Linked DNA regions of Nothobranchius furzeri. The protein of the gene in region 1 binds, or shares a complex with, the protein of each later gene. Links are inferred from orthologs where the notes say so. Each region holds a gene or a part of one and is shown in the gene's direction. Other genes may lie near its edges.

Region 1 (3,999 bases):
CCAAACAGGCGCGAGCTGAACTCCGGCGTACCGCAGTTTGACAGCAAAAATAGCGCTGTTTTTAAAACCACAAGCAAGGACATGAACTTGTTCCGCTGTCTAGTGTCAATTCCTCAAAATGGGGTCTGCTAACGTACGTCTCCGCCATTTTGTGACAGGTTTTTCATTGAGCAAAGGGGTACGTGTAATGGTTGAATGTAACCCCATCAAGAAGATATCCGCTCGGCAGTTACAGCAGAAAGGGACCAGGGGGAATTTCAGATAAAAGTCCTGTAGACGCGGCCACAGCTAGGGACACCAGCTGCTTCCCACATCCGCTTACCCATGCAGCAACAGATTGTACGAATATAAATTAAAAAATAATCATATTTACGTATAACACAAAATAGTATGGTCAGTTTATGTAATTACAAAAGCAGTACAATTAATGTGTAACTTACAAGCATGTTATTACATAATCAGTGTGTGTAGATGTTTTAAGCTTTGCCACTTAACAAAAATATTAAAGTTCAAACAAGTTATACAGGATAAAATATGTTAGGCACATAATATATGACTTCATACAACACAATAATTAATATGCAACTCATCTTTTGCAGTCAAAAGTTCGCAAAGTAAGTTTCTTTCATTCGTTTTTAAGTATATATTAAAATAAAAAAAATCTATAAAAAATATTGAGCACCATTATGACACGTGCATCACTATCCTACTGATACTGCTGAAATAATAATTTGACACCGATGTTTGACACGCACTTTTATATTTAAAACAATTAGGTAGCTACTATTATGCGCTTAATTGGAATATTACGAAGCTGGGTTAATTTGTTTTTCCCCTCCCCCCACGGGACATTTCCAAGAACCCTTTGACCCGTTTTCTAGGCAGCGGGCATGAATTGTCAGACGATCCCTAAAACAGAAAACTGTCTATTGTTCCAGCAGTCGCTCTACCTTGGAGGGTGCAGTACCGCCGGTGGACACGGAGGGCGCTGCACGCATGGCAGGCCGGGCTCCGCGGCCTTCACATCTTTTTGTCTGAGAACTGGATCCCTCTGCCGCTCTACAGTGTGTGCGATAGCCTCGGAGCTGCGTCCGTACCACACTGTCAAACCACTCCAAACGAACACAGCCGCGACCAAAAGCATTAATTCAACACCTTCAGCCATGGCGTTTCTAATCCACCGGTAAATCGGTCGTATTTGTGACCGCTCGTTGGAACTTAGTCCGTGCTTGTATCGGGTTTGCTTTCTGTGTGCATCAGTCTTTATTAGCGAGCTGCCGCTCTCTTTGCTATCAGCTATTTCTTTAACTTTTTAAACACTCAGCTTGGCGAATGACTGCGCGCCGGCGGAGTATGGGATCCTTGGTGTCTTAGGAAGCAACTGAAGTGGGATTTTACCGTTTTTGCATGCAAAAACAATGGCAAATTCGACGGGGAAAAATCTACTAGATCAGCGAAGGAAAGGACAGGCTTTCCTGGACGAGCTGCGGCAATTTCACCAAAGCAGAGGGTGAGATTGGGGTGCCTTTATTTCCAAGAAATACAACTTTAACTACAAATTGCAATGAAGGCGCGAGTTCCCAAAAGTGTAATTTAAACATGTGTGGCTTTATTTCATGTGTTATTTCAACAGATCGCCGTTCAAAAAGATTCCTATCGTGGGTGGGAAAGAGCTGGATCTGAATGCACTCTACATCAGAGTCGTCTCTTTAGGTGGATTTGCTAAGGTGAGTGGGAACCAAAAGTGTCATTTCTCCACTTTGCCGTCCGTGGACTTCTCACCGGACTACTCCACAACTCTGAGCGGTTAACCCGGGACAAGTCTCACCCTCCAGAAAGCCGTTCCAGTGGCTCGGCGTTGGCCTTGTGCTAGTTTACCATGTATCTCTATGCAATGTGGTGGCTTGTGTTGTTGTGTGGTATGAATTGAAGAGTCCAAAGCGCTCGGAGTCAGAGTGCAGTTGGAGCGACTCAAAATTAGCGGGCACGTTTACCATCGATTATCGGCACGGAGCCCGGCTTCGGGGAGCACCGCGTTGAACGCGGCGCGCTGCCCGGGCTTTCGCCAGCAGTTTTAACCCGGAGGGAAGCTTAATTTCTCGCCATAGCCATCTTTCTTCGGCTTCATGGCTGGCCACAGAATGTAGGCCTCACAGGCCCATGTAACGAACACAGTAAACGGGTACATACACTGACTCCACAACCCAACGGCTCGCCGCGAGCGCTTTCTGCCCCGGCAGTTTGTTGTAGTTTGCCTCGCGCGGTTTAAACGCTCAATTAGCAAGTAATCAAGTTAGCTTGTTAGCTGTGTAGCTAACTAGCCTAAACTGTAACAAAACCGTTCTAAATAGTTATTTTAAATGCTAATAACAAATACCCGCTATTACATAACAATATAGAGACTATTTTAAACATAACTTCTAAAGGTTATGCTGGCTTTATCTATTTTGGGTCATTTCCTGCAGTTTGAGAAAGTTATTGATAAGAGGTTGTGACACTGTCTCAATGGAGAACCTGTAGCAGAGGGAGCAGCTAGCTGCCTTCACTGTAACCGTTCTTTGTGTTGTTGTTACCGGTGTTTGCTAACCAGCAGACCCTTTTATCATCCTCTCCTCAGGTCTCTGATAAAAACCAGTGGGCTGAACTTGGAGAGGAGTTTAACTTTCCCAGGAGTTGTTCCAACGCAGCATTCGCTTTAAAACAGTACTACCTGCGGTAAGTTGCATGCAACTCTCTCCTCTCAGGTAGCATGTGGGAAGTGTTTACAAATGCTAAGATGCAGTCAGCTGGATGCAGCCTCGCTGCTTCCCTCTGCTTGGAAGCTGCACTTGTGGAATATTGCAGAGGAGGTTTGAGTACTACTTAATCCACCAGAGAAGCAAACACTCGGGCTGAGTTGTCTTTTTAAACAAAGCTTTTGAAAACATTGGTTTTAGGGCGTTTTGACACTTTTAGCCCGGGGGCTCTTGTTGATGCCATGTTGAATGGTTCTGGATGCTCTTACTTGTATCACATGCACACTTCGAAGTCAGTCAGCTGCATTGAGCAGAGTCTGTTTTACCCCCCCCCCCCCCTTTCCAACAGCTGGCATTTGTGGTTTGTAGTGTTTTTTCCATCACTGTAGTGTTCCCATCACTAGCACCTGCCCTGCAGAGGTTGCACCTGTGCAGCAGAGAAATGCTTGTAGACATTTAGAGACAAGTGGTGATAGAAGAGGCCAGCATTGTTTCTTTATATATTGTCAGTGAGCGGTGACAGGATGAAGCTAATTTTATGACTAACTGTAAGGCAGCTGATGAGACTTGGAGCTCATCGGAAGTTCAGACAGCTCTGATGGATCTATAGAGCAGAGTTTCGTAAACTTTTCAGCTTCTGACACAAAATTACAGCAGCTGAGACTCGTCACCACAGCCACCAACGGTTAAAAAAAAGTGTAAACTCTACAGTGACATAAGGACAACACAAACTGTCCACTATTTTACTATCTCTGGCCAATTTATGACAACTTTTTATAGAACAGTTGTGGCAAAATATCCATTATAGTAATTTTGTGGGTTGTGGAGATCAAAAAGACCCACATTGAGGTCCTGGCCCTAACTTTAGAAACCACTGGGTCAGAAGGGGAGGACTGGTTTGAAGTATTTCAAAAAACAAACTGGCTACACTGCTGATGGGAATCCAGAAATATTAGGTATTAAGTTTATAATCTATAGCTCCTGCAACCTGCAGCTAGTCTGAAATCTGCTTGTATTTTTAACCAGAAATGACAAGACCCTGAGTGAAGTTCATATTTGAACGGATCTTAATTTTACATGAAAGTCATTGTTTTGTCAATAAAATTACACAAACACCACAAATAGGTAATACTGTTCTTGTATCAGTAGGTAGCTTTATTTATAGCACTTTTCAGGCCCTGTTGGGTGTTTATGTTGCAGCATTTATCAGATATCAATCATTGAGTCTGCCCTGGTTACTTCTTAACATCATTTCAGTAAAGTA
Region 2 (2,864 bases), on another chromosome or scaffold:
CTGGGTCATTTGTTTATGAGACCACTAACTAACCAAGGGCTGGATGTTTTGCTTCAATAACCTCAAGCTGTTGCTCCTTCTCTCAGAGGAGTTTTCTCGTATGAAGGAGGAGGTCCCCGCGGCGCTTGTGGAGGCTCACGTGCGGCGGGTGGAAGAAGCGGCGCGAGTCAGCGGCCGACAAGATCCTCTGTATGGGCTGGAGGGTAGTGGCATCGCAGGCACCGGCCTGGAGGAGGGAGAAAGACCCGGTAGGATGGACAGATGGACACAACTAGGGAAAGAGCGCTTCAACGATACAGGAAGAATTTACATTTCTGACTTGTCTTCTCTTCAGATGAAAGCAGCGATGAAAGTAAGAGTGACAGCCAATCAAGTGAGGAGAAGAGAGATGCTAAGGTAGGATGCTTGTTCAAAACAAACTAAATGAAAGCTGTGTCTCTTATTTATTAGTTGTTAACTGTTTTTTTTATTTATTAAGGTGAGTAAAGATACAGCAGTAGAGGAAGAAGAGAAACAGGTGGAAAATGGAAAGAAGGAAGAAGAAAGGGGAAGAGAAGCCGAAGGAGAGAGGGAGGCGGACAAAGCCGAGTCTGAGATGGGTATGAGAGGACCTGGCCATAGACAGACGTGTCAGGAAAAATATAATAAAACCATGTTTTCTTCTCTCAGGTGATGGAGAAAAGGAGAAGGATGCAAAAGAGGGAACAGAGGAGGGGCAGAGAGAGGGAGAGATAGAAGGAGAAAGGAAGGCGAAGGTTGAGCGTGATGTGGGAGAGGGAAACCTGGCAACTGCTGCCGCCTCTGCTTTAGCTGCTGCTGCTGTCAAAGCCAAGGTGAAGTTCATTTTACCGCTGCTCTGTCAGTCACCGTTTGTTTGTTGGGTTTCTTTAATCCAATTCTCCTTCTCTGTGTAAACAGCATCTGGCTGCAGTGGAGGAGAGAAAGATCAAATCTCTGGTGGCTCTGCTGGTGGAGACACAAATGAAGAAGCTTGAGATTAAACTGCGACACTTTGAAGAACTGGAAACCATCATGGACAGAGAGAGGGAGGCTGTAAGTGATGGAATTTGGGAATTATTGGACATAAATGACCTGTTTTATTCCCAGAACAACGGATGTGCAGTAGCACTAATTCATCTGAGACGTGTTTGTTTTGCTTCCAGCTTGAGTACCAGCGGCAGCAGCTGCTGGCCGACCGGCAGTCCTTTCACATGGAGCAGCTGAAATACGCTGAGATGAGAGCTCGCCAGCAGCACTTCCAGCAGATTCAGCACCAGCAGCACAGTCAGACCGGCGGTCCTCATTCCAACCAGGCCTCCTCAGGCCCTCAGCTCCAAGCTCCGACTGCAGGGCAACAAGCTCCCAGCACACCAGCATCACAGGCGGCTCCTAGCCCTGCACCACCAAGCTCTTCTGCCCCGGCTCCTGAAGCCCAACCTCCTGCAGGGACTCATACCCCATCGCCCTGCCCCCCGAGCCAGGCCTCAGCTCCCGTCCCAGCTCCAGCCCCTCACTCCAGCTCCAGCACTACACCTGTACTCCATGGTGAGTTTAAACATACAGCAGGTATTTAATTAGCATTTATGTCAGAAAACAATGGTGAACAATTTGAACAGGAAAATAACACAGAACTAAATCAAGAACAACAAACACCGCTCAGCAAAAACAGGTTCTGCAGGCAAATTACTAAACAAAAGGGCATTCCCTCATAATCCACTCAATCATGTGCCACCCACCATTCCCATTTCTCCCAAGCTGCCACAAAAATTTTTAACCTGCAAGTTCTGCACGTGTTTAATTCCCTTTATTATCCTCCTCCCACTGTCTCTGGTCAGGAGCATTCACCCCAAACTGTTTTTGTGACAGGTTTTTCCCAGCAGAAAGCAGGATTTTAATCAAGTATCTGTTTGGTGTCCGGCAACACAGCAAAAACTAAACACTAGACACGGTCTGATTTCACACACAAACATTCTCCAGTCAGACAGGAAATCTTACAAGATCTTTGGAGTAAACAGACATGGCGATGATTGATTTTACCCTTTATTGCACGTGTCAATAATTTTCAGGCAGGAAAAGTAGTTTTAAATCTAGAAGTTCTCGTGTTACCGGGAGTCCCGATACATTTCGTTATACGTATTATAGCGCTAAGGATTAACTACTGCCTGGTACTTGAGAGTACTTCTTCAGACATTTTCTCCTGCTTTATCCACAGAGCCCAGCACCCCTCTCCAAGGAGAAACTCTCCACCCCTCAGCTCCTGCTCCTCCTCCACAGTGAGAATACTTTTTAAGAAAAAACCTGAAAATCCAAATGACTGACCATTCCAAATCCTGCCTGTATCATCTGAAATGAAGTATTCAGCTCCCGGACATAAAAAAAAAAAAAAAACAGTTTTCATGTTCAGTATTTTTTTTCCAACAGGAAATTTAATGTGTGACAGAAAAATAAGATACACGAGTCAACTCCCTCTCCTGACTGTTCAAACTAAGTCGACTCTTGAGGAAAATAGATTTTTCATCCCTCGTGGTTGACTGGACATCAACTGTCAAGTCAGAATCATAAACTCACCCCAGGAGATCTGGTCAGCATGGATTATCAACATGCCAGCACCCAAGAAAGACAAAAGAGTCATCTTGTGTTTTGAACGTTGTTGCTTTTGTTTTCCTGTTACACTCTTTCATGGCTCGTGAAGTCTCCAGCTTCACATCTTTGTGTTTTAGGTACGTATAAAAACATACATGTATGTATTAAAACATACATGCACGTATTAAAACATACACGTATGTTAGGAAGAAAGAAAAGCACTTTTGAAATGTTTCCCAAGGTCTCGCTAAAAAACTTGAAGCATCCATCAAATTGGATTT
Region 3 (4,127 bases), on another chromosome or scaffold:
CAGGCGCATCAGTGAGTTTGCGGCCGCTGCGCAGGGGGAGGGGGGAGATGGCTGAAGCAGAAACTACTGTTGTTAAAAGAAATGTGTTTAACTTTGAAAATGTGGGCGCGATATTAATTGTCAAAAACTCCAGCGAACCATTAGTTCATTTTGCTCAAATAGAAATAGAGGCCTGCCTCTAATACTGGCCCTCCTTCCAATAAAGGCCTGGAGCTTGATGAGCTTGAGTCAAATACAGGCCCAGGCCTGTATTAGAGGATTTACGGTATATCTTTAGGAGCATGCATTCCCACAAATGTCACATCAAAATCATCGGCTCGTGGGAATAGTGGTATGTCATGATTTTAGAGTGATCTCCCATCACCAAAACCATCAGTATCATGGTTTTGGGTTTTTCACCCCAACGTCACCCAAATATGATGACTTTGGGGTAATGCACCAATTTTGGTTTGCTCACCCCAACATCAATCAAATATCAAGATTTTCAGTTGTTCACCCCAACGTTTACTTATTTTTATTTTTTGGTCAGTTTGAGTGAATGCAATTCAAAATTAGCATGATTATGAAATAAGTATGCGCACAATAATTTTTTTTTATTTAGAATGGAAGGGCATGCAATTGCATGAACATTTTGTGCCAGGTCCCTTTTCTAAGCAATGTGGTTTATCCTGGTGAAATAATAATAATAATAATAATAATAATAATAATAATAATTATTATTATTATTATTATTATTATTATTATTATTATTATTATTATTATTATTATTATTATTGTTATTATTATTATTATTATTAGTAGTAGTAGTAGTAGTAGTAGAAGAAGTAGTAGTGGTAGTAGTAGAAGTAGTAGTGGTAGTAGTAGTAGAAGTAGTAATAGTAGTAGTAGTAGTAGTAGTAGTAGTAGTAGTAGTAGTAGTAGTAGTAGTAGTAGTAGAAGTGGTGATATCTTCATCATTATTATTATTCATACTGGCTATAAACGTAGTAATTAGCATTGGCATTAAGAGGCCCATTAAAAAAAAACTTTTTGTGTCTGGGAGAATTTCGAGGACTTGACCGGTTATCATCTTTTTAAAGTATTTTGTATGTTGTACGATTTATTTATCAGTTTAAATACAACGCTTAACCAATAGAAAACATATCAGTGAAATGCCTCTAAAACTAATTTGTTCATTTAGATGTCATAAATTATTTTAGGAACTGTTCGTAAAAACAGTTTTTATCGATACGTTTTTTATATTTTTCTTTAGCAGGTTTGAGAATAACAATTACGTGAATGGGCAAAACCACTTCTAACCTGTAGGGGGCAGCAGGTCCACGGAGTGCTCATTTCTGTCACAAATGGCAACAACCTTAGCTTCCGGGTAGGAGTTTTCGAAGAACACAAGCTAGCCAGCTAGCCTTTTCATATTTTAGCTCAGGGAATCACAATAAAATTTGCTGCGAATCGGTAAGATATCAACCTGAACCTTTCTGTTTTTTTATTTTCCATGCATGCACGCTTATATGGAACTCCACGAGTTTTAAGAAATGCAGCAGGTCAGGGAGAACAAGATGCTAACTGTCCATCGCTAGTATGCTTTGTTTCATACATTCTAGATACGGGAACCTGCTAATGAGTTCCAGTTCTCGTTTCGGCTTTAGTATGGATGGAAGTGTCAATTGTAACAGCTTTTCTCAAGTGAATTGACCTGATCCAAAGTCTGTTTTTTGCTTTTTATTTCATTTCACTCTATTATGTAGCTAGCAGGCTAGCCTGTTAATCCATTCAACGATGTCAGCGAACTCCAAACGAAGACGAGCCACCTCTCCCTGCAGCAGTGTGAGCGGGGGAGACCACGACGATACCTCCTCTTCCACTCCTGGAAGTGGAAGAAAAAGAAGAAAGGTATCTAATGTCCCTCCAGTTGATACGGTAAATGTTCACCTTTATTTGCGAGGTTCTTTTTGAATGTTAACAATCTAAATGTGTGTGGGATTTGCAACTATTACCTTAAAAAAGCTTTAATCGTGATCTTTTACCACTTACTTTTTTAGATTGCTGTTTGCCACGAACTGTTTAATGCTGTCAAAGATTTCAAAGACGATCAAGGGAGGCAACTTTGTGAAGTTTTCCTTCGGGTTCCGAAGAGGAGGTATTGTAATATTAGGACCTAATAATAAACGGTACTGTTATATATAAACTTGTCATTCATGAAGAGAGTTGCTACTCAGCATGTTTATTTAAACATAGTCATGCCATTTGTTACCTTGTTGAAAGTAAAAAACTGAGCCAAATACTAACAATTTATACAATAATAATAACAGAAAATTGTACACATTGTAGTATTGTAATCCGGTTATTGCAGTGGGATGGGTTCGATGTAAATAAGGACCGTTACAGTAGCAGAATAAACATATATAAAATAATGTTGCAGTGCAGGTGGGTGGGGGTGGCAGCAGATAGGAAGGAACATGGACAGATGGCTTTTACAGCTCTGGGGAAGAAGCTTTCCTTCAACCTGGAGGTTGCAGTACTGATGTTCTTGTACTGTTTTCTGGATGGCAGTGGTACAAACAGTATATGACCTGGGTGAGGTGGATCAGCAGCAATGCAACTGGCCTTCCTTGCCAGTCTGACGGCATGTATTGAGTCCAGATTTGGCAGCAGGCTCCCCATGATCCGCTGGTCCAGGCCAAGTCCTTCATGTTCTGGACAGTGTAGCTCCCATACCACATAATTATGTTAAGAGAGAGGATTATCTCAATCATGGCTGTGTAGAAGTACCAGAGCAGCTGGGGTGCTGCTCTCTTGAGTTTCACAAGAAATAAGATGTCTGGGCTGAGCACACAGCTCTGAGGAGCACCGGTATTCAGAACCAGCTCGGATGGAGTATGATTTTTAAGTCTCACCACCTGGGGATGGTTTGTGAGAAGTCCCTGGTCCAAAAGTAAAACGAGGTTGAGAAGCCCCAGTTTATTATCAGCTTGAATGATTGTGTTAAATGCTGAGCTGAAGTCCAAGAATGGCATCCTAAGTGATGAGGAGAAACACTGTTAATAGCATTAAAATAAGTTAAACAGATCCTAAACAATGTAAAACTGAGTTTAGAATCAGTGTTTGTTTTATATTACGACCCATGTTGATAAATGTGGGTGTCTCTATTTTTCAGGAACCAGCCTGATTATTATGATGTGGTCTCCCAGCCGATTGACATGACAAAAATCCAGTCCAAGCTGAAGTCAGAAGAATACACTGATGTGCAGCAGCTTACTGCAGATTTTCAGCTCATGTTTAATAATGCTCGATCCTTCTACAAGGTAAAGAGAAAAGAAACATTTGCTTGTATTAAATTGACCCTTCTGACTACACAAAGGTTCAGTGTTCCCAGTTAAATCAATAACTTATCGTTTTTCTGATTCTTACCAGACTTTAAAACTTTAAACAGAACAGCAGGAACCCAGAGCTGAACGAAGCCTGATTTATTTTAAATAAAATGTACATGACAATCTTTGTGATTTTATTATACTCAGGTTGGGTAAAACGAAGGGTATAGAACCAGGTCACTTCATCTTGATCCTGGAGGGCTGGTGTCCAGCATGTTTTAGTTGTTTCCCTGCTCCAACCTGCTTGATTCTGTAGTTGAATCACACGTTAAGCAGCTCATCAGGCTCTGCAGAAGCCTGTTAATCACATGCTGATTAAAATCAGGTGTGTTGAAGCAGGGACACCAGGGTTAAGGACCGCTGATGCCTGAAGGCGTTAGATGTGCACAGATGATTGTTTGACGTTGAGCGAGAAAATGTTGATTAGTAGTTTGTTGATGGTCAGCGAGTTGAGTGTTTGCAGCTTATAAATGCATTGATCCGTCATTGGTTGTGTTTAGAAAACTGTCAATAACTGCTGCTCATGTTTGTGTTAAACAATGTTGATGGTATGAAGGTTTATGATGGTGTTTAGTTTTGATGTCCAGATTCATTCGAATGTTCACGTCTCTTCACGTTTGATGATTCAGAGTGACGGCGAGGAGTATCATGCTGCACGAAAGCTGTGGGAAGTTTATCTGCAAACAAGGAACGAGTTTGTGCAGCCCGGAGAGGGAGACGAGGAAGACGAAGACGGTGATGATGGGATGGATAATCCAG
Region 4 (3,500 bases), on another chromosome or scaffold:
TACCTGAGCTGGGGTAGGTACTCGGCTGGTAGAGCCGCTGAGCGGGCTTGTTTTTAACTCACGCTGATTGGTTGTATTCGCCAAATAACTGGCCTTTTCAAAAATGGGAAGAGTTGTTGGTGAAGATGAGTGGAAGTGAAAGAAAGCAAACAGCATTAATGCTGCTTTGAAATTGCAGTTTCTGAAGGTTCAACGCATATAATGCAGTGGAAATCCCCCACAACGCCATTATCCACACTGCTTTGTCAAAAACAGCTTCTTCTGGTCATTGAACGGCACTTTTTACTTCACACAGCTGCTCTCCCCGTCCCCTAAACTCCTAAAATGGAAACAGGACTCATGTAGTCCTGGTCTTAGCTTTAGAGGGCTGGATATGAACTCTGATGGATTAGTTATCAGTGTTTTTTAACATCACCTGTCTTAAGTGCTAATGCGGTTTAATAAAATTGTGTTCAGATCTTCAGCTGTCCACGCATGAGGTTCAGTGAGATCCCCATGAAGCTGGCGGGCCTGCTGCAGCATCCTGACCCTATTATTATCAACCACATCATCAGGTAGGGTCTCATCTTACAGCTTCAGACAATCTCTGCTTTCAGACACACAGTGTCACCACACTTGGTGAATAAGGTTCATAGCTGCTCCTACAGTTAATAAACACAGATGTACGTAGAACCTTAGAAACACTTTCTATTTGGTTCTGAGCTGAGATAAGGTATAAACCCGTCCTGTAGTCACCACCAACTCCTTTGTTCCCTGAGCAGCGTGGATCCCACAGACCAGAAGAAAACAGCCTGCTATGATATTGACGTGGAGGTGGACGACCCTCTGAAAGCTCAGATGAACAGTTTTCTGTCCTCCACCACCAACCAACAGGAAATCGCTACTCTTGAGATGAAGGTCGGGTCTAATCTGGATTCATACTAAAATGAAACGAGCCTGTAGAAACCTGAAACGTCTTCCTTTGTTGTTTATGTTCAGATTCATGAAACAATTGAGTACATCAACCAGCTCAAGACTGAGAGAGACTTCATGCTGAGCTTCAGCAATAATCCACAAGAGTTCATCAAAGACTGGCTGAAGTCTCAGAGCAGAGATCTGAAGGTAAAGAAATGTCTGCTGCAACTACCATGTTATCGTGACTCTTTTGTCTTATTTTAGTCCCTCATTTCAGGACAAACTAAATAAAATGAAATGAAGTTGAGTTAAATAGCAGAGACAGGGTAAAATGAAGTTCCTATGTTTTTTTTTATCTGATTAAATCAAGTGTTTAGATCTTGACTCGTTTAGATTTCCTTTACGGCTTAGACGGCAAAAATATTTTAGTTTTCTGAACATTCTCCTTAACCTGGAAGTCAGGTTTTATTGGGTTTGTTTTTTTACTCCTTCGCCATAAGAGTTCAAATCTGTCCCACTGGAATCTGCAGTGTTTACTCATCATTAAATGTTGCTTAAGGTGATATTCATTATGGGGATTACAGCATTCTTACGTTTGTTTACATTATATAATGTGACACAATAGCACAGAACTCATTCTAACATATTTAGCCAGTAAACGGATGCACCTTGTTGCCGGCATGTGCTCAGAGAGCTAATCAGGAAGCATTCTGCTGCAGGTGGTGGAGGGTTGATCTCCTAAAGCGAGCCGAAACACGTCTAAAGATAAATGTTCCAGCCAGCAGTTAGAAATGATCAGATCAGAAGGATCTACATGTCTGGGTTCCTGTCAACACAGATTTCACCCCACCTTGTTTTTTTTAAATTTGTTTAAGAAGTCAAAGCTGTCCTCCCTCACCTGACATGGTTCATGGTTCGTTCAGAAGCCACAGCTTTGTTCTGTGTTCCTGTAGCTTTACAAACCTCCTGAGCCTTAAGCAACATCTCAGCAAGATGCAGTTGTAGATAAGAAAATGAAAGGCATGTTTGGGGCATCTTGTTGGTGTTGTTGTGTTCACTGTTGCATTTCTGTTGAATCAGCTGATGACAGACGTGAGCGGAAACCCAGAGGAGGAGAGGAGGACCGAGTTCTACGAGGCGCCCTGGGTCCCAGAAGCAGTGGGCAGATACGTTTACTCCAAAGTAAGTGAAGACAGATCCCAGAGCTCAGAACAGCACATTTTAGTCATCTGTATCTGAACCAGAGGTACTCCTTCTCCGTTTCAGGTGCAGCAGAGAAGGCAGGAGCTGGAGCAAGTTTTGGGGATCCGACTGACCTAAAGGCCAGATTCCAGAGGAGTTTGCCTGCGTTTGCTTTTGTTTAACTGGAATAGAGACAGCCATGATCGCAGCTTAAGCCATACTTATTTACTAATGGGACCAAAGTGATGATTTATGTGTCCTTTTGTAACGTGTTTGCCTTGGATGGTTTTTCATTTGGAGCCTTTTCAAATCATTTTTACTTTTTTGTCTTTTTTATTCTTTTTTTTTTTTACTCGCGGTACAAAATGCTGAAAACTGTTTGAACACTGGTCCTGTAAAGGATTCTGCTTTCCCACGCTGATGTTTTGTGTGATTTTCTAAAAGTTGTAACATTTAAATGTTGACAGTGCCTGATGTCTAAAAAATATCCTTAATCAGTTTATCCCATATATATGTAGTTGTACTACATGCCTATTGAAATGTCCTTGAAGAGTGTTTGAATCTATATTTTATGTAAGTTTTAAGATAAACCCTTAAAACACTTTCAGGTCATATTTTTAATACATAAAAACATCAAATCAGGAAATACGTCATGCCTGTGGTGATTTATGAGAAGCTGTTTTTATACAGCCTTCTTTGTTCCTCTGATCTTTAGCAGCTCTTGTTTATATGTTGAAGGTTTACATGTTTTTTTTATTTACTTTTTTGTTTGAGGACCACAAAAATGAATTTTCACAGCCTTTGTAGAGGTTTGCTATTGATTATAAACAGGAATGCAGCTGTGGTGTCAGATAAAAAAATGGTGTGTGTATGGGGAAAAAGCTTTTTTACAAGCAGTCTTATGAAACATTCCGTGTATTTGTGCCAAAATGTGTTTTGTGAAGTTGATTAATTGAATTTGAGAAGTGTGTAGTACAAGTACTTTTGTACAGCTTCCGTGTTTTGCATGTTTTTGATTCAAAAGCTTTTTTAAAAATCTTTTTTTACATTTGAGGTGTTTTTCACAATAAATATACTTGCAAATGTTGGTTATTTTCTATATCTGAAACAGAAACCTACATTACATATACGTTATATTGCACTGAGCTATTGAGGTGTGTGCTTGGATCAGGGAGCTGTGCATGTTGAGGCTGGTCGCTGCGCTCAGATGCTTCACGAGGGCAGCAGTTCCAACAGGAATGTCTGGTTTTACTCAAACAACGCTCCTCAAATAAAGCCCGGGACTGATACAACCAACTGTCTTTAGGAAGCCGTGTCTCAGCTTGTCTGGTGACTCTTGTTTAATGCTTCAGACGTGGTATTGGCTTGTGTGGCAGAAAATCAAAAATAGTATTTTTAATTGTTCTATAATGTGTACTTCCTAA
Region 5 (4,040 bases), on another chromosome or scaffold:
AGGATAAGCCTGTTCGTGCACCAAGGTATAAAGCCCAAAATGAAAATTATAATTACAGTGTAGATGCTTTTAGATGTCCAAAAACACATGCCCCCCCCCCCCCCCCCCCCCGGGCAGCCAGCAATCTGTTTCTGATCCAACACAAAGAGATTATGCAAACAAATGGTGCCCCATGTTTTGTGCTGCCGATTCTCCATACTGAACAGAGAAAGTGTAACATCATCAAAAGTTGGGGGAAAAAATACATAAACTGTTGTGAATTTTTGCAGGACCGTAGCTCAAAACATTTAAAACTTTGCTCATCTTAGGATCTCTGCATCTGCATACAATCAACAAGCATTCAAAGAGGATCATGAGTCAACTGAAAAACCTCATGGAGGCACCGCAGATTCAGATCACCTCTCAGACACGGAAGCAGTTGGCTCACTAATTTATGTTCCCCTGCTGTGATGAAAGGAGATGTGGTGTATAATTTGTGTGATGTTCCTAAACAGAGGGAGATGGTGCGACTTGCAGTTCATGAACTTCTGATAAAAATTAAAAAAGAACTAATTACTGCAGTCTGTAATGTTTTGATATTTTTCACATTTCAGCATGTATTTTCTCGTTGAATAAAAGTTACGCATCTGCTGATGCTCATGTGTTGCATGTCAAAGTGATTAATTTGTAAATTAATGCAGCTTATTTCAGTTTTATGAGACAAATGGGACAAAATCACTCAAAATACCATTCTTATCTGTGCTTTTCTTCTACTTTAAAGTAAAATCTCTTTTCTTACGGTATTTTCAGTAAAAGTTCCAGAATATGTTGTTTTGGTTTAAAAATATTCTGCAGACTTTGTAGATGTCATAGATGTTACAGATATGTGAGCGAAGTTAGAATGGGTTTTTATTAAATTTTTGGTCTTGCAGGAAGCAATTGAAATGATGCTAAATTTGTATAGTGGACACTTTTTTCAGAGCTCCAGAAACAACATTTGGATCAATTGAACACACCAATTAAAATACAAAAACAATAAAAATAAGTTTTTAGTATGCTTAAAAATGCAAAATTAAGCATGTAGTTGTTTTCTGCACCACTTTGGGCTACAACGCTTCTAATTTATTTATTTATCAGGCTTCATGGATGGTTGAAAGACTATCATCAGCATCTCAATAGAAAAGCTAATTTATTTGTTACCAGATGTGAGCAGCAGATAGCGCTGTTTCATCTCCAACTCTCCCCATTGAGCTTGTTCTCGCGTTAGCTTCGTGCTTCCACCGGCGGCGACACTCAGAGAGGAGATGGCGGCCAGAGGGGGGTTTCAATCTGCTCCGACGGGTGGTGGCGGTGGAGCAATGGGCCCTGGACCGCCAGCAACCGGTGCAGGACCAGGTATGGGCCCCGGTACTCCCTCTGGAAGAATGGGGCCTTCGTCAGCCGCGCAGAACCACATGTACCGCTCTCCGATGCCCGGGCCTGGGTATCCGGTGAGTTCTCGTTCCATGTTTGCTGCTGACGCGTTAGCTTGTTCGCTAGAACAAAGCCCCTCATCGCTCCTTTGTTGCTACTGGCCAACGTTGTTTCTGTTTCTCCATGAGGACCAAAGCTGTGACTAACTCTCAGGCTGGTTGAATAGAGTCAGTCTATCCCAAAACTTATTTTAGCCACTTCCCTTGAGTTACCATCGGTGTGTTTGAATTTGCTAACCCATCCCGCCCGCAAACGTTAAAGTTTTAGTAAGCAGCTAGTTAGCTCATCATGCTAACGTTGCTAATTTGCTCTGTAGTTTGAATAAAAGCACTCCGAGAGGGCTCGAGTAGTGTAGGAAAATTCACAAAAAGTGAGTTTGTTACGTTTGAAAGTCCCAATTCGATTAGGTTTGGGATTTTCTATTTATTAGATGTCTTAAAATCAAAAGTCTGCTTTTGAATGAAAAGTTTACACTGATAAGAAACCATCAGTTTTCCAGACGGAAAAAACTAAATAAGAATAAAGCCTCAAATTCCGTTTTAATGCGTGAAGTTTGTGCTTTTGATCTAATAATATACTGGAAATAATTTGTCACTGATGGATTTTGTACTTTAAAAATATTCTAGTTAAACTTTCAAGCCTCACCTTTATTCTAAATTCTGATTTTCAGATCAGACTAGTGCTACTTAATCATGAGTTAAAGAACAAAAGTTTTCCAGATGTACTATAGTTACAATAAAACTAAAATAATAGTTTAGTCCCGCGATCAAGAAAGTCAAAATATTTCCACCAAAGGACACAAGCCAGCTGAGCAAAGTTTTTCTTTAAATGACAAAGGTAATGTTTTGTGTGTTTGTGCAGACTGATGTTTCAATTTAACTTTTAATATGCAGATGTCTGTTGAAACTACTATCTGATAGGTTTAACTCATGTAATTGGAGTATCAGTTAAAGGTTTTGATCATTCATTTAATCAACTAGCTCAACCTCCTGAGCTACTGTTGCAACAACGAATTGGGGAAAAAAATTGATTAAGAAATGCATTAGCAATGCAGTTCATCATCACTTTGTTGTGTTGTGCAGCTTTTTTAATTTATTTTTTTCATGTAGTGCAACCTTTTTTTTAACAGTCAACGTGTGTGCAGCTTATGGGGGGGGGGGGGGAATTTATGTAACTCTTCTGTTTAGATGTAATAAAAGCTTGAAATTATGAATGATTGGGGGCGTGTCCTTTTGATGGACAAGTAGCAGAGGGCTAGGGGTGGTCGGCGCTAGGGGCTTCCCTCCTGCTTGCTCCAGGGAAAGCTTCAGTCTGCCTTACCTTAACCCTCCCACTGTCCTAATGGGTGTGACCCCATGAGGAAAGTTGACCATTGAGCAGGGTTGATGGTTTATCCCTTGGGTCCATGTGGCATGGGCGACTAGTGACCACCACCTCACCACTGCCACGTGGACTTCAAGGGATAAACAATCAATTCTGCTCAACGGTCAACTTTCCTCGTGGGGTCACCCATTAAGACAGTGGGAGGGTTAAAAGTGTTAGCTTGTCCTGCCAGGGTTGGTCGATTTGTCATGATGACATCAACAAACAAAATAGTCATCAATAAACTTAATAGTCTACGTTGTTTATTCTACGCATTGTTTTAATCTTACCTGCTTCAGCAGTACCACTGCTGCTTGCGGTCTTTCTGTTCGAGGCACGTGCGCAGTAGCGGCCATTCGGGTGAGCCATTGCATCACCGGAAAAACAAGACATGGCGACCTGCAATGTAGCACAAAGTTTGAAAGCATTTTACAAAAATAAGCATGTACAGTGCAAAGTCTGCAAAGTAGGACTTCTTTCACAAGAAGATAATGCTGATGAACGAACGCCTTAAAAGGAAGCACGTCGTGGCAGAGAACAAAGGGGGACAGTCGCCTCTTTAAGCTAATTGCCCCTCGTTAGCTGCTAACATCATCAGGGACAGTGTTTCCCCTAGGAATTTTTCCAGCTGTGGTGGAGGTGGTGTTGGCGGGGGGGGGGGGGGACTATGACACGTCTCACCTTTATGTTAATATTGTTTTATTTGATGCACTCCACTTTGAACTGCACCAGTCCAGCGACTGCTGCAGTGTAATAACTAGTATTAAAGGTGAATACACCAATATTTGCACAAGAATAATTTCTGTTTTAAACTCTCAGTGACACACTTTGCAGGGTGGATTTGGCATTTAATTTTTCTTGGCGTCTGGAAAAACATCTTCTTTTTCCCCCTTTATTTGACTTTCTGCCCCCTTTATTTTGGTCCAAGACCATTACTGGGCTGGCCCTCTTAAACGCGTTCTACACCCCTGCTTAGTAGAATTAATGAAGTATTTTTAAGCCAGTATAAAAATGACTGAAACACAAATTTACATATTTGGCATTATTGACCAATATTTTTGATTTAATTTATTTGTTAAGAACATCAAGATGCATTACAGTGAACATTATAATAAGCTGGGCGGACACTGTGCGACTTTTTCACTCGTAACACAGCTTCAGCTCAAACTGTACGACTTCAGCGCAGGGCAGATCTCACGAGTCATGTGCTCACTGTACATCTGGTA
Region 6 (3,304 bases), on another chromosome or scaffold:
GAGCACGAAGAGGAGAGCGAAGGAGAGGAGTCTAAAACGGCTTCTGCAGGTAATGGTGATCTTTACAAAACAATCCCAGCTTGTGCTGGGATTTGTTTTTCTGTATTCATCTTTTAAAACTTCAGTTAAAATAGGAAAAAAAATATTTGATTGTCTTCTGACAGCAGGTTAAAAATGTTTCCTTCCCTATTCAGACAAGGAAAAAGAGGAACCAATGAAGACTTCTCCTGATCAGGAGAAGGAGAAGGAGGAAAGTGAGGCTATGGAGGAGGGAGAGGACAGGAGGAAAAAGCTGGAACATGACATCGGAGAGGGAAACATCGCTACGGCAGCGGCTGCTGCTCTTGCGTCCGCCGCCACCAAGGCCAAGGTGAGGAGATGTCACTTTTCATTCATCCGTGTTTGTTTTCCAGAGAAGTTTCTACTGAAAACAGTTCAGAGTTAAATTAGGGGCTACTGAGATGCTTATGTTCACGTTAATCTTCTGTTCAGCACCTGGCAGCAGTCGAGGAAAGAAAGATCAAGTCGCTGGTTGCTCTGCTGGTGGAGACCCAGATGAAGAAGCTGGAGATCAAGCTGAGGCACTTCGAGGAGCTGGAGACCATCATGGACCGCGAGAAGGAAGCTGTAAGTTGAGTCGGAGTTTGTTTTAGTAGCATCATCAGAGGTTTGTAGTTTTAAAACGTTCATGAATGAATGCAGTGCAGCTCAAACACTTCTTCTGCTTCACCTTTGCCAGACATCATCCGATTATCATCAGCCACATGAGTCAAGCTAATGAGAGATTAACTAGAATCGAAGCAGCTCTGCCTTTTTGTTTAGCTGCTTGACCACATCTGTGGGACGTTACTGTTATTATCGGAAAGCGTTAGTTAGTGTTAGAATATCCTGATCCTAGGAAAACCAAACCTTAGTTCCTTTAGGTTCTGTCTGTGGAAATGCCAAAAAGTGACCCGCCGTCTAACTTTCCCTTTCCTGCGACTGCTTCATTGATCAAGTGGCCGGTAAATATTTAGTCAGTAGCAGATGTTCCCTCGTGGTGGAGCTGCTTTCCATGAGCTCCAAGTCTTTATAAGAAACATGAATTCTTTATGAGGAAGCCAAAAGGGTTTTATCTACAGCTGAGCAGCTACTTAGTGATGCTGTTTAAACTGCTGCTCTGCCAGGGAAAAGCCTGATTTAGCTGGTGTGTGTGTCCCTGGAGATGCTAGTGAGAGTGTAAAACTGTGTTTTCTTGTGGCAGCATCTGGACTGAAGCCTAATTCAGCCCATTCACAGCTGCAAAAGCTGCTCGAAAAGAAACGTTTTAGGAATCTGTCACGGAGCAAGACGGAAACCAACATGGCTGCTGCTGTAAACGCTCAGGCTGAAAGGATCCACAAAGAAACACGGGACAAGTCTGAGCTTTCAGTTGCCTTTAGGTGTCCGCTTCATCAGCGTGGTGAAAATGGAGCAGAATGAATTTATTATACACACACACACACACGCAAACACACACACAGATTTTTTAAACCCCTGGTTCTTGAAGAATGCTGCTTTGACTGAGCTCTGGGTTATTTGGTTGTGGTCTTTGTAATGTTTCTGCTTCCTGGTCTTTAACTCCTCTTCATCCATTAATGTGTGTGTGTGTGTGCAGTTGGAACTTCAGAGGCAGCAGCTCCTCACAGAGAGACAGGCGTTCCACATGGAGCAGCTGAAGTACGCTGAGATGAAGGCCAGACAGCAGATGGAGCAGCAAGCTGCTGCCGCTGCCGCTCAGGCCCAAGGACAAGGACAGGTCCCTGGATCAGGACCCCACCCGGGCCCTCCTCCACCAGGTATGCACCACGGCGTACCCCCACCCCACCATGGAGGACCTCCCTCACACCATGGAGGACCCCCACCCCACCACAGCGGACCTCCTCCCCATCATGGAGGTCCACATCCGCACCACGGCGGTCCCCCACCAGGCGCTGCAATGCACCCAGGCTATCCGCCAATGGGCCACCACCCTATGGCCCCCCACCACCCAGGACAGACGGGTGAGACTAAGCAGAATAAAGTCTGTGGAGAAAAAAGTAGCTGTGAGATATTAGCATGTTTTTTTTTAAATAAAATTTTGTTTGTTCAAATAAATCTTGACTAAAACTTTGTAAATATTTGTCTTAAAGCAAAGCTACTGATAAATGCTTATTTAAAACATGAAGCAAATGTTTTACTTAATTTGAGCCGTCTCTTCATGATCTTTGTCTCTTAATCAAAACTGCAGGACCAGTAGAACCAGGTCAGCAGATGCCTGGACGTATGATGCCTGGACCCCCCTCCGCCGGCCCACCTCCAGGTGGGATGCCTCCCATGATGCCCCCGCGTCACTCTGGAGCCCCCAACGGCATGTGTGAGTACAGAGCCCCCCCACACACACACACACACACCAAAGTTCTGAACCTTTGAACACAAACCACCACTTTTGGTCTTCCTTCATCTAAATTTGGCCTCTCTGTCCCTGCAGACCCCGGTCCTCCTCCTGCACAGCCCGAGGTGCTGCCTCCAGCTCCAGTGGGTCCCGCAGCACAGCCAAGTGGACGAATCACTGATAACTAAGACCCACACAGACGCACAAAAGCACACATCTCTGAATTTCTGCCCCCCTTTTGACGACTCAGCATTTGCCCATTAAAGCTGCCATAAACGTCACCCTCCGTCACACACACACACTCACACTCAGGGTTTATCAGCAAAAGTGACCCAGACATCACAAACACACATGCAGACTTCCTCTCAGGGCGCAGCGGCGAGGTTCATCTAGTAATAAACACTGTTTCTGCTCTGTTGGGCAAACGGGAGGCTGTAGCCAGAAAACCAAACAAGGAGACAGAAATCATCAGAAAATATTGTTTCTCATTCTTTACAGTAACAATGCTGTTTTTTTGTTTGTTTTTTTTTTTTGTTGTGTAAATGACACTGTAGCCTTTTCTTGTATACCAAAAAAAGATAACCCCTTAAAATCTGGTCCTCCCTTTCCTCCAAATCAAACACTAGGGGGAGCTAGAGGGACCAGAGGCCCGGACAGACCCTCAGGGTTCTGTGTGCTGAGCCGAAACTCCCAGCCTGCCCTTGTTCTGATGGAGAATCTACCTCTCGCTCTTCTTTAAATGATACACTGTAGATCTGTGTGTGTGTGTGTGTGTATGTGAATGTGTGTGTTAGACAGAGGGAGGGTCGATGGCAGCGTGTGCCTATTTATTTATCAATACATTTCAATTTCGTTGATCCTATTGATCTTGAGAAATTCAACAAAAAGGCCAAAAAGGTCCCCAGTAGGTCA

What was found.
Region 2: arid2 (region 1) and smarcc2 share a complex: the UniProt entries of both Homo sapiens proteins name them as parts of the SWI/SNF-B (PBAF) chromatin remodeling complex. The link is inferred for Nothobranchius furzeri from reciprocal best matches to the Homo sapiens genes ARID2 and SMARCC2.
Region 3: arid2 (region 1) and pbrm1l share a complex: the UniProt entries of both Homo sapiens proteins name them as parts of the SWI/SNF-B (PBAF) chromatin remodeling complex. The link is inferred for Nothobranchius furzeri from reciprocal best matches to the Homo sapiens genes ARID2 and PBRM1.
Region 4: arid2 (region 1) and smarcd2 share a complex: the UniProt entries of both Homo sapiens proteins name them as parts of the SWI/SNF-B (PBAF) chromatin remodeling complex. The link is inferred for Nothobranchius furzeri from reciprocal best matches to the Homo sapiens genes ARID2 and SMARCD2.
Region 5: arid2 (region 1) and smarcd1 share a complex: the UniProt entries of both Homo sapiens proteins name them as parts of the SWI/SNF-B (PBAF) chromatin remodeling complex. The link is inferred for Nothobranchius furzeri from reciprocal best matches to the Homo sapiens genes ARID2 and SMARCD1.
Region 6: arid2 (region 1) and smarcc1a share a complex: the UniProt entries of both Homo sapiens proteins name them as parts of the SWI/SNF-B (PBAF) chromatin remodeling complex. The link is inferred for Nothobranchius furzeri from reciprocal best matches to the Homo sapiens genes ARID2 and SMARCC1.

What each region holds. Positions count from the first base shown.
Region 1 is NC_091741.1:59,776,360-59,780,358, reverse strand, and holds the start of arid2 (AT-rich interactive domain-containing protein 2), read left to right. Parts: upstream 1-1,199; 5' UTR 1,200-1,418; coding exon 1,419-1,510; intron 1,511-1,633; coding exon 1,634-1,727; intron 1,728-2,617; coding exon 2,618-2,715; intron 2,716-3,999. UniProt on the Homo sapiens protein: Involved in transcriptional activation and repression of select genes by chromatin remodeling (alteration of DNA-nucleosome topology). Required for the stability of the SWI/SNF chromatin remodeling complex SWI/SNF-B (PBAF).
Region 2 is NC_091743.1:50,353,316-50,356,179, forward strand, and holds the end of smarcc2 (SWI/SNF complex subunit SMARCC2), read left to right. Parts: intron 1-86; coding exon 87-248; intron 249-334; coding exon 335-396; intron 397-478; coding exon 479-599; intron 600-669; coding exon 670-833; intron 834-918; coding exon 919-1,053; intron 1,054-1,163; coding exon 1,164-1,545; intron 1,546-2,212; coding exon 2,213-2,277; 3' UTR 2,278-2,364; downstream 2,365-2,864. UniProt on the Homo sapiens protein: Involved in transcriptional activation and repression of select genes by chromatin remodeling (alteration of DNA-nucleosome topology).
Region 3 is NC_091743.1:66,073,032-66,077,158, reverse strand, and holds the start of pbrm1l (polybromo 1, like), read left to right. Parts: upstream 1-1,327; 5' UTR 1,328-1,452; intron 1,453-1,745; 5' UTR 1,746-1,776; coding exon 1,777-1,917; intron 1,918-2,039; coding exon 2,040-2,137; intron 2,138-3,154; coding exon 3,155-3,302; intron 3,303-3,997; coding exon 3,998-4,127. UniProt on the Homo sapiens protein: Involved in transcriptional activation and repression of select genes by chromatin remodeling (alteration of DNA-nucleosome topology). Required for the stability of the SWI/SNF chromatin remodeling complex SWI/SNF-B (PBAF).
Region 4 is NC_091756.1:35,532,469-35,535,968, forward strand, and holds the end of smarcd2 (SWI/SNF-related matrix-associated actin-dependent regulator of chromatin subfamily D member 2), read left to right. Parts: intron 1-456; coding exon 457-554; intron 555-761; coding exon 762-897; intron 898-978; coding exon 979-1,101; intron 1,102-1,974; coding exon 1,975-2,076; intron 2,077-2,160; coding exon 2,161-2,214; 3' UTR 2,215-3,217; downstream 3,218-3,500. UniProt on the Homo sapiens protein: Involved in transcriptional activation and repression of select genes by chromatin remodeling (alteration of DNA-nucleosome topology).
Region 5 is NC_091743.1:58,867,579-58,871,618, reverse strand, and holds the start of smarcd1 (SWI/SNF-related matrix-associated actin-dependent regulator of chromatin subfamily D member 1), read left to right. Parts: upstream 1-1,240; 5' UTR 1,241-1,283; coding exon 1,284-1,469; intron 1,470-4,040. UniProt on the Homo sapiens protein: Involved in transcriptional activation and repression of select genes by chromatin remodeling (alteration of DNA-nucleosome topology).
Region 6 is NC_091745.1:65,024,658-65,027,961, forward strand, and holds the end of smarcc1a (SWI/SNF complex subunit SMARCC1), read left to right. Parts: coding exon 1-49; intron 50-194; coding exon 195-370; intron 371-492; coding exon 493-627; intron 628-1,636; coding exon 1,637-2,021; intron 2,022-2,248; coding exon 2,249-2,374; intron 2,375-2,488; coding exon 2,489-2,580; 3' UTR 2,581-2,804; downstream 2,805-3,304. UniProt on the Homo sapiens protein: Involved in transcriptional activation and repression of select genes by chromatin remodeling (alteration of DNA-nucleosome topology).